Drosophila melanogaster: one gene and its partner. The gene in region 2 interacts genetically with the main gene of each other region. Each region holds a gene or a part of one and is shown on either strand. Other genes may lie near its edges. The genes, in order: sno and Atg4b.

Evidence for each region.
Region 1: of Atg4b (region 2) and sno, changing one enhances a phenotype caused by changing the other (phenotypic enhancement), as found in Drosophila melanogaster (one study listed by BioGRID).

Annotation. Positions count from the first base shown.
Region 1 is NC_004354.4:13,208,407-13,213,599, forward strand, and holds the start of sno (strawberry notch), read right to left. Parts: upstream 3,269-5,193; 5' UTR 2,697-3,268; coding exon 2,694-2,696; intron 1-2,693. Other genes in the region: REG (proteasome regulator gamma), read left to right, coding at 4,183-4,552, 4,750-5,117. UniProt on the Drosophila melanogaster protein: Notch pathway component, may contribute to the specificity between lateral and inductive Notch signaling pathways in the wing disk. Required during many developmental stages including oogenesis, embryogenesis and imaginal development of the eye, wing and leg.
Region 2 is NT_033777.3:15,353,111-15,358,941, forward strand, and holds Atg4b (Autophagy-related 4b), read right to left. Parts: upstream 3,815-5,831; 5' UTR 3,707-3,814; intron 3,519-3,706; coding exon 2,564-3,518; intron 2,506-2,563; coding exon 2,310-2,505; intron 2,243-2,309; coding exon 2,166-2,242; intron 1,999-2,165; coding exon 1,523-1,998; intron 1,463-1,522; coding exon 1,160-1,462; 3' UTR 610-1,159; downstream 1-609. Other genes in the region: Tmtc4 (transmembrane O-mannosyltransferase targeting cadherins 4), read left to right, coding at 1-358; Hibch (3-hydroxyisobutyryl-CoA hydrolase), read left to right, coding at 4,208-4,210, 4,280-5,164, 5,429-5,701.

The DNA of each region.
Region 1 (5,193 bases), on a different chromosome or scaffold from region 2:
TCGCGGACCACAGTGCCCCACTTTAGAACGAAAAAGGGGTTGGCATTTTCCCACCCCCTCCGCTTGTGGAAATTAAACGAAGTAGCAACAACAAAATGTTTGGCATGCAGAGATACGAAGTTTCCTCCTTTATGCGTAATATGCATGTGCTTTCTCTGCTCCCAGAAACCCCACATCCCGCATCCCACGGCCCACCCACCACACCACCCCCTCAACCCTTCTAGCCACCCTCTCAACCCCAACCCCTTTAAACCAAAGGGTTTTGGCTCAGTTGGCAGCTGAATGCGGCCAAAGGGGTTGGTCAGGGGGACTGGAGCAGGTCGAAAGTTGTGGAGGATGAGGGGGGGGGGGGTGCCAGGAGGAGCAGCAATCTGCAGCGCATGTACAGCAATTAGAGCAAGACAGACTGCTGTGGCTGTGGATGTGGGCACGTCCTTGGGGAAGGGGTAGGGTGCTGGTGGGCGCCGGAGGGTGGCGACGGGTCTGGTTGGCTCGTTCGCTGGCTATATGCGTTCAAACATATATACCGTGTACCTCTGTGTGCTCCGGGATAAAACAACTGGCAAGGGACTTGGGCCAAAAGCAAAGCAAACAGAAGCAGCCGAGACAAACAAATGCAGTGAGGACAGTGAACGTCCGCTGGAATGATCGATCACTATAAAAACTGATCTACGACAGTGCGATATATTCTCAACATTTTTCCAATCAGATTTCAAAAACCAGCTTAACTCAAGTAATCACCTCTTTAAAATGAATATTATTATATTGTATTTGGCTAGGATAGATAGATACTAGATACTTAATTAATTAATCATTTACATTGAAGTCATTTAATTAGGCTCAAAAGATAAAAATAAGAATTCGCTATTAGCATCTGAAATGCATTCCTCAACGAAAACATAGTTCTCACTCCCAAATCAATTCTAACTCCGCAATATTTCATCCACACCTCCGCCTGTTAATGGATTGCAACATTTTTGTTGACACACAAAATAAAATCAAAACGAATGACCTTGCAACAAGGGAAATGTTGAAAATCTGTGGCCAAAAACATGTGTTTCCATCAACCACCCTCTCGCACAAATAGAAACATCAACATGTTGTTGCCAAAAAAAAAAAAAAAAAAAAAGTTGGTATGAATTACGAAAAATAAACAGCCACAACATTAACCCTTATCAGCAGGGTAGGCGAATGAAAAAATAAAAACAAAAGGTGCAGATAAAAACGGACAAAAAAGGACACAAACAAAGGCCAAGGAAAATAGACCTGAAAAATGTTACAAAAATGGGGAGAGATTTAGCTAATAAAGGCTCCCGCTCCCAGGAGTTGGCAAAGAGATGTTGACCGGGCCGAGGGAAATGTGAAAGCGCAGGCGCCAAAAAACTCGGAATGCATTGGCCAAAGCGGACACGGCGATACATAACACGGCTCGTAGGACCACTTACCCACCCTCCCCAATCAGAAATGCTCTGGCTGCAGCAGAGGAAAAGCAGCGCAGCTTGTGTGGGAGGGGCAACTCGCATTTCTCAGGATGCATTTCTGAGCTGCAGCTGCACCAACTGCAGTTCTACAGTGGAAACCCCTTAGCGGGGATTCTATCGAACTTTTGCGTGAGTGGTTTGAGTCTCTGCCAGGGGTTCCGTCGCTCATGCCGAGCAACAAGTGTGAGGAAAAAAAAACTTGGAATAATAACGAATAAATCCGGGTAAATAAACGATAATCAAATCTATTTCTTTATCAAGAAAACAAATTGTGAATCGTATTATTATATCATAGGGATAAGGATAATTTAGATAACAAATATGTGCATTTTGAGAGGAATTAAAGTTATTTTCTTTGCACGTAAACAAAAGCATAAGCATTTCACAAATCAATCACTGTAAAGCTGCGGTACTTGTAAAACACTTGAGTAGTCAAAAGCTGGCATAAGTATATCAAATTTCCAGTAATTGATGATACAAATAAATATTATTAACATATTTTATAAAAAATGATTCTTTGAATAGATTAGCAACACTATTACGGACTATATAATTTAAATTACATTTGTAGAAATAGAAATTGTATGGTCATAGTTTTGATAACATTCAAAACGATGCCGCCCCCTGAAAAATAGTTGTCATCCTCAATTCAATGATGCACCATAGACCCATAGCCCCATACCCCGCCCATGGTCTTAACCCACATGTTGCCCCTGAGTCGCATGGCCTTAACCCTAACCTAGCGCAACTTTTGTCGACTGAATTCGTTTAACTCGTGTGCGGGGGAAAAAACGCCAAAACTAAACTCAGCGTGTGTGCACGAAAGAGAGGGGCGAGCGCTAAGAGGGAGTATGAGAGGGAGAGAAAAACACATGGTTCCAGGCCACGCGAATCTGCGATATAAAATGCATCCTTAGAAATTACAGAAGAAAACAATTGCAGATAAAAAAAACAGCAACAACAACAAAATGGGTGGACGAGGAAAGAGCGAAAGGCGCAAGAAAAGGAGAAACAACAATTATTGAATGAGTTGGCTACTGCTCCTTCTTCTCATTATTATTCTCCTTCATCAGCTTCTGCAGCCGCTTTGTTTTTGTTTTATGCATGTGTGTGTGGGTAAATGTGAGTGTGTCAAAATTTAGCAACAAAGAAATTTATATTAAGTCATGCTATTGACGGCAACAACAAAAAAGCCAGCTAACTTAAACTTACCATTTTGATTCTCCTGCTTACTGCTAACGGTGGTTGTTCTTGATGTTCGTCCCTCCGATGGTTCTTGTTGTTGTTGTTAACCACAAAAAAAAAATCAACAGACCGCGCACCCACGCGTTTTTCGTTCTTTTCTTGGTTTTTTTTTGTGTTTTGTTTAAAATTTATATATTAATTTCTTTTTAACAATGCGTTTTTGATGCTGTCAACGGAACAGAACAATTGTGCGGCAAGTTAGATAGCAAATGCAGCAAATATAAAAGGCTGGACTCCGCAATTTTCAGCGCGTTAGAAATGTTTTTGTTGTTGTTGTTCTTCCTGTTGTTATTGGTGTTGCGATAATGACTGCATGCGTGTGTGCATGCGTGTGTGTTGTTGTTGTTGAGTGTGTTTTTCTTTTGTTGCTGCACGCGGTATTTCGCTTCGGATAAATTTGTTCGTATGCGTTGTACCGCGCAATACACGCAAAACGAGGAATCGGAATAAAGGAGGAAGGAAACGAGAACGAGACGAGAATGAAGCGACGAAGCCGAAAACACACGTAACATGCCAACTATCGCAACTAACGAGATGCCAACTAGATAGAGCTGGAAAAACATCGATGAGAATCGATAATGGTGAAGCGAGAAAACGTCAGTTTGACGATTATTGATAAGAATGCCGATGTATACTAAAACTTATATTTGGGCACACTTATTTATAGCGTGTTTGCTCTAAAAATATTAATAGCTTAATATTACTTATAATATATATATATGGAAAATATTTTAAAAATATAGATATTTAAATGAAAACATTTTAAATTGCACAAAGGGAGACATAATAAACTTACTTGGTATTTAAACAAATCTATCGGTCTGGCACGCGGTGCACACAAGACTATCGATAAATGGCGCGCGTCTTATTTCTTTATATTTCATGATATATATCCGTTAAATTCTAATCACGTTACAACAAAGTATATGCAAGTTTAACATGGTAAATGAGAAGCGAGCTTCAGCTGTTGCATTTAAATAAATGATGCCAACTGCAATGTACATTAATGCATTTAAATATGTTTTGCCAACTTTAATGTTCAGCTAATTTGTTTATGAAACTGAAAGTAATTAGAAGACTTTCAATCTAAAAAAAGTATAGAAAAAATATATATTGACATTCAAGATATTTAAGATACTTGTGGGGTATTAATTTGCAAAATTTCTGCAAACTTCGACGCTATCGATAAGCATCGATTATTCTTTTTCTTCCACCTCTAGCACCACATGCGTGTTGTTGCTTGGGCATCAAAATTTGTCGGTAAGTCTGGTTTTCCCGCTTTCAATTTCGCAATCCGCCGACACAAGTCCCTAAAAGTCCGCCGATTTCAGACGGTCCGCGTTGCTGATTGTTATTGAGAAGATAAGGAACGAGAAGAACCGGTACTACGCCAGGAGACAGGACTCAGGATCAAAGGCTTCCACGGACACGAAAAGGAATCCACATAGCTAACGAAATGCCTAACGACACTGTGGTAAAGGTGCAGGAGTACAAGGACTCGTTGATCCTCAAGGCAGAGCTGCTAATCACCAAGGGGTTCCCGGAGAATATCGTCCGGCTGAACGAGCTGCTGGCCACGCCGATCTTCAACGAGCGCAACTTCGAAGAAGTGCACCAGGACCTCAACATCCCGGTCCTGCCGCCTCTCCTGGTTAAAAACGAGTTGGAGGATCGTGACAGTCTGCCCACCAAGCGCCAGCGCGTGGATGTCATCGTCTCTGGGCAGCCTGTCATGGGTCTGCCCGCCGGTACAGTGCCGTGCAACAAGCCGCTCTGCGAGATGATCAAGGTCGTCAAGCCTATCATCAGGAAGCTTGTGGAGGATTGTAAGTACACCGTATATTCAAGCGTCTCAACCTAATAAATGTTTTTATGCTATTCAAGAGCCCCTTCAATTTTCCTAAAACAATGAATTCCAAGAATTTTTACATTCGAACGGTACAAATGCCAGTAGCTAAAGTTTTGCCTGACATTAAGCTTTTTAATGAATACCTAGTAATTTCTGAATTGATTTCTTTTGCAGCCAATCTACTTAAGATGTGGATCTCCTTTATGATACCCAAGATCGAGGATGGCAACAACTTTGGCGTCTCCATTCAAGAGGACACGCTTGCCGAAATTCAAACTGTGGAATCCGAGGCGGCCGCCTTCTTTGACCAGATATCGCGCTATTTCTTGTCGCGCGCCAAGGTGGTGTCCAAGGTGGCCAAGTATCCGCACATCGATGATTATCGGCGCGCAGTCGTCGAACTTGACGAGAAGGAGTACCTCAGCTTGTGGCTGGTCGTTTGTGAGGTCCGCAATCGCTACTCCTCGCTGCACGACATTGTTATTAAGAACCTCGAGAAGCTAAAGAAGCCGCGCTCCTCAAATACCGAAAGCCTGTATTAGGCTAGGTATTTCCGAAGCCCGAGCCTCAACTTTTTTTTTTCCTTTCCATCATCTTACTTTTCAATCAATAATCAGC
Region 2 (5,831 bases):
GACAATGCTGGACAACAAGGGGTTGCAGGATGACGCCTTGCGCATCTCTAATCAGGCTCTCCAACATCTACCCAACGATGTCAGTATCCTTTTCATTCGAGCAAACGTGCTTGGCAAATTAAAACATTATACGGAGGCGGAGGCGATCTACAAGCGCGTTATTGAGCTGGAGCCCCACAACACATTGTACCACACGAATCTCGGAGTTCTCTATCATCGCTGGGACAAGACGCAGGAGGCTATAGAGGCTTATCGGACTGCAATAAGTATTAGTGCGGCTAGAGCAACGACAGCCCGGGAGAATCTCAGCAAGCTCTTAAAACGCCTGGAAAGGGAGGCGCAAGTCATGCAGAGATAAGCGTTTCAAGTCCCACCATCCAAATATGGATCCAACCAAAATCTTGGTTGTTTGCAAATAATAAGAGGTATGTACACTTCGCAAGCTGTAATAATCCCAAACGAAAGACGAGGTTGTGGGTTAAATTACTTATTCATAAAAGACATTAAAACTAGTTAGTCTAATTTAATTTTAATTCCGTGCAATATTGTATCTATATCATACATTCATATCCCATCAGCTAAAATCTCATGACACCCTAATTGTATTTAGTATAAGTTAGGATAGTTTATTCATTTACTCGAGGGTATATACAATTAATGTTAAAACTAAATAATGATCGAACAATTACAAGACGACTTACATAATTTAACTAAACTCTAGAACTAAGCGCTACATGAAATACTTCAAAGAATAGTGACAATTGTGGCACCATTGTAAAATAATTCAATTCCATTAAAGATTCATGATTTTAAAATAATAATACCGCAAATTACATAGGTTTATATATAACACATATAAACAGATCGGGCTGCTCGAACATGGAAATAGCTGAAAAACTTTGGCAGAATGCGAGACGACAGGTCGAACAAAAGAGAGATTAACGTGGACATCAGTAAATATTCAAGATACATGCATGCGTCTATGTACTATATGCGTAGGCGTAAAGGTACAACAAAGTCTTTGTGTTTGAGATACGGGTCTGTTGGGTTTTTCTGGGCGAGCAAGCAAGCAGCAGCGGCTGGCAACTAAATCAAATAATAATGAGCAAATAACACAGCTAGCACAGCAACAGGGTTATGTGGTGGTGGCGGCAACGATCTACAGCAGCACAAACTCTTCGCTTTCACTATCATCTTGGTCGTGCTCATCGCCGTGCTGTGGCGGCGCCAGTTGAGCGCCCAATTCCTGGGCCAGAGAAGCCACCTGTTTTATGAGCGGCTTGTACAGCGAATCGCTCATTTCGTCCCGCTCGTGATCCATGCAACGACCGCGGGAAAATGAGAACAATGGATAGTTCATCTCTGTTTGCTCGGTTTGATGGGATGACTGAGGCGTCGTATGATGGCTCCCGGCCGCCTTATCCACAGTTGCCCCTGAGGCGCAACGCATAGGATGCAAATACTGTTGAAATTAAGATATTTAATAGGACGTTGGAAAACGAAATGTTTGGCTTTTGCTTACCAACTGTACGCTCTCCATAAAATTGTCGAAATCACTTTTGGTGGCACAGTAAAAGCCGATACAACAACTAGGATCCATTTTGCTGGCCTTAAGCTTCCGCGGCGACTTGCAGTGAAACGAGTGCAGGGAGAAGTTCTCTTGGTTCACATCCACCATCTCCTGGCAATAGTGCGGATCCAAGTGGATGAGCCTGTCCTCCTGGAAGCCGACAAAGTACAGCGAATGCTTTGGCTTTCCACCAAGGATGCCCAGGCAGTGTTCTGTACTCAGCAGCAGCTTCAGACAATGGGCATACACAGGATTCAGTTTATCACTGCCCAGGCGCAAAGGTATCAGAACGATGAGGGACTTCCAGTGCTGTTGTTGCTCCGTTTTGGTAGTTTCCGCCTGCGGCCGCTTCGCTTGTTGCCAAGGCACATGGGGTTTTGGCGCCGGTTCCGGAATGCTGCATTGATCCTCAATATCTTGCAAGTAAACTAAAACAACACAAAGACGGTTATCAAATCACATACGTTATCAATTGAGCCCCTGAGTAATGAGCTTCGCGAACAAGGTTGCAGCAATTACTCATGAACATATCAATGTGTCATGGTAGTTATCTTATGAATCTTTGATTAAGGGATTCCTTTCTGCTTGAACTTACTCGTGCAATCTTTGGCTACATAGACACTAATATTGTCAAAGTCTGCATTTTCCTGAGCCGCGTGCTCTAAGGCGTGTCTGTGGTGAAGTTGAAGAGTTGTTTGATTTAATAAAGATTAAAAAAGCGATAAAGATCTGTACTCACTTAAGCAAATAGGAAACAGAGGCGGGACCGTACCAATCGCCAGGTTTTTTACCCAAATGCTCCCCCAGCCGCACCAGGGCGTGGATGGAGAAGGGACTGCTTTTTGAGGAACTGTCCCCGAACCACTTGACGATCTTCTTATGCATATTGTCCTCGTAAGTCGAGTGCAACTGGGACTCTGAATCATAGCGCCAGCCTGAAGCATAAAGGTTTATTGGTAATCAAACATATTTGTGCGGGTTCATTTAACTTACTTCGCCCTAGGAAGTGACAGATGAGTCCTTGAGCGAAGAGCATCTGACCACTCCTTAGCATACAGCCCCAACCGCAGTCCGAGGTGTAGTTGGAGCCATTCATTATTGGGAACTCTCGACGGTAGGTCATCCAAATCCTACTGTAAAAGTCACGACGAAAGCCTTCGATGCCCTCCTCCCAAGGCTGTTCGCCCACTTGGTTCTCCACCGCGTCCATTCCCAGTTCCTGGGGCACCACAATCTCATCGATCTGCTGCGGATTAAGGGCTGGATACAAGGAGGTTGATGTCGATGTGGCCTGAATGCTGTCGAACGCCGATGTGGCGTTATCGGGGGTGGTATCCGCCCCGCTGGGCAGCTCGGTGATGGAACTTTCCATGCTTACGGGCGGAGTAAAGCGTCGATGATAGCACCGTCCTAGCAGCCACACGGGCTGCTCCTTTGAGAAGCTGGTCTGCCTCATCTTGCCGCTCCAGCCATACTTCACATTGTGCCACATTGCGACGAGCTTGGACTCCATGCCCTTGGTGGGAGTACGGTTTGCCGACAGGTCACCGGGTTCCTCGTTGTGCTGCTCCACGTGACCGCAGCTCGGACCGCTGTTGCCGCCGCCGTAGAGCTGACTGAAGGCGTTCATGAAACGTGATGACGTCGATATTTTGCGCTGCGGAGTCGCTGTCGCAGCGTTTTCCGTCTTGAGGTTCAGATTGGCACCTGATGTGCTTACGGGGGAGGGGGAAGGGACGCGTGGAACGGCGAATACAGTGCGATGAATCGTCTGTATGGGGGCCGCCTGCTCCTCCTCGATGGCGCCGTCCTCCACCAGCGGCAAGGAGAGCGGATCCGCATCCTGGCCGCATATCCGGCTACCCTCTACAATGGTCCCCTCGCCGGCGGCTTCGAAGAGCATCAGTTTTTCGTCGGTCAACTTGGAAAGGAGGCCGTCATAGTTCATCTGGTTGGTGGCCGTGGACGAGGACATGAAAACAGAGGCGGAAGTGGTAGAAGAGCTATGACGCTTTGTCCGCAGCTTGCGGAACTTAAAGAACTGCGGCATTGTAATCTTGGTGCGAGCCCCTTGCTGGCCCTGGCTTAACTGACAACCGACCACCGATTGCGTGCTAATTACAAATGTTTACTCACCGTTTATTTGTTGACAAAATAAGATAAAGTAACTCCACGAAATTTGTTTTTCTTATTCGCGAGAAGTACAATTGCCAATTTCAGTGTTGCCAGACTGCAAATCTGCTCTATTATGAATATGTAGGTAATGTGTGTTCTTTTTTACGTTTATCTACTAATGAGTTCAAAATGAATAGTGAATTTTGTTATCAACAGGTTTGTGTTAAACTATTTTTAAACAATTTGTATCTTTATCTAAAATTCTTATACATATAATATTTGAATTAATAAATTAAAAGGCGCCTGGTATAGGTCTGCCCTTGGCATGTCCATTTAATAGTAATATTTTACGCGGAAAACGATTTCTGGAACACCCTTATTTACTTCCGGCATGTGTGCGGTCTGGCAGCTCCGCGACAAGAATGACCAGCTGTGCGGGTGCTAAAATTCTATTGCGCAACGCTGAATTTCTAAACACTCGCTTCGCCCCACACACAACATTACTGACGACAGCCGCTCAAAATGGTAAGTAATGCAAATTCCTGCAAATAGAAGCGCTTAGCTAATCGAAAACAATTCGATGTCGCCGTCCAGCAGGGCCCAATTCAAAGGTTGGTGTACACATTTGGTCATCGCACCTGTAGCCAATTGCCGATGATCGGCGGAGCAACGATATCCCAAACAAAACCAACAACAATGGCTCTCTCCGTTCGCCAATCCTCCTCCTCCGTGCTGGCCACGGAGTCCTCTAACAAGGGAATGATTATTCTGAACCGGCCCAAGGCGCTTAACGCCATCAACTTGGAGATGGTACGCAAGATCTACAAGCACCTGAAGAAGTGCGAGAAGTCCAAGTCGCTGGTGATCATCAAGGGCACAGGTGACAAGGCCTTCTGCGCCGGTGGAGATGTGCGCGCTCTGGTCGAGGCTGGCCCTACGGATGAGTCGAAGAGCTTCTTCCGGGAGGAGTACAGCACGAATGCCCTGATCGGAAACTATAAGATTCCCTACATCGCCATCATTGACGGTATTACCATGGGCGGTGGCGTGGGTCTGAGTGTGCATGGCAAGTACCGGGTGGCCAGCGATCGGACACTGTTCGCCATGCCCGAGACGGCGATTGGCCTCTTCCCGGATGTGGGTGGATCATACTTCCTGCCTCGACTGCAGGGAAAGCTGGGCCTCTATCTGGGTCTCACAGGATATCGACTGCGCGGAGCCGATGTCTATTACTCAGGCATTGCTACGCACTACTGCGAGAGCAGCAAGATCCCTGATCTGGAGACGGCTCTCCTTAACTGCCCGGATGCGGATGATGTGCCTGAGCTGCTGCAGAAGTACCATTCCCCGCCAGAAAAGCCCTTCTCGCTGCAGCCTGTCCTGGAGCAGATCAACAAGAACTTTTCAGCGGACTCGGTGGAGGGGATTCTAGAGAATCTGCAGAACGATGGCAGTGAATGGGCCAAGAAGACGCTTGAGGTGAGTGGGGCACAGTTTACTAAGTGATAAGAACACAATCGGATGTTAATTGGCTGGGCCAATCATCGCTTGACGCGCGCTTTTAGCGCCTAAATATTTGATCCGTTTCCAGCCAATTAGCAACGCTTTAGTTGCTGCACGACTTTTCTTAACTGAATAAGTTACACTAGCTCACAAACTCACACCCCACACCTTGTTGCATTTTTCTATTAGAGTTGAATTTTATTATTGAAATCAGACACATTGCTTTTTTCTTTGTTTTAGACGCTCTCGAAGATGTCTCCCACCTCGATGAAGGTTACGTTCCGTCAGTTGGAGCTCGGATCACAGCTGTCGCTGGCTCAGTGTCTTATTATGGAATATCGTCTGGCCGTGCGTCATCTGGAGCGAAGTGATTTCAAGGAGGGAGTGCGCGCCCTACTCATCGACAAGGATCAGAAGCCCCAGTGGCAGCCAACCAAGCTGGCCGATGTCACTGAGGAACATGTGCAGTGGTTTTTCCGCAAGCTACCGGACACCGAGGAACTCAAGCTGTAATGTAGCAAGCTTAGTTTTGTTTTTGTTTGAGCCTTGGCATCCAATCCTGTTTGTCTTCCGTTGAGCCGCTCATTCTTATATGCACACAACTTAATATCTTTGTATATATCATTGCAAGCTTGAGTTATGT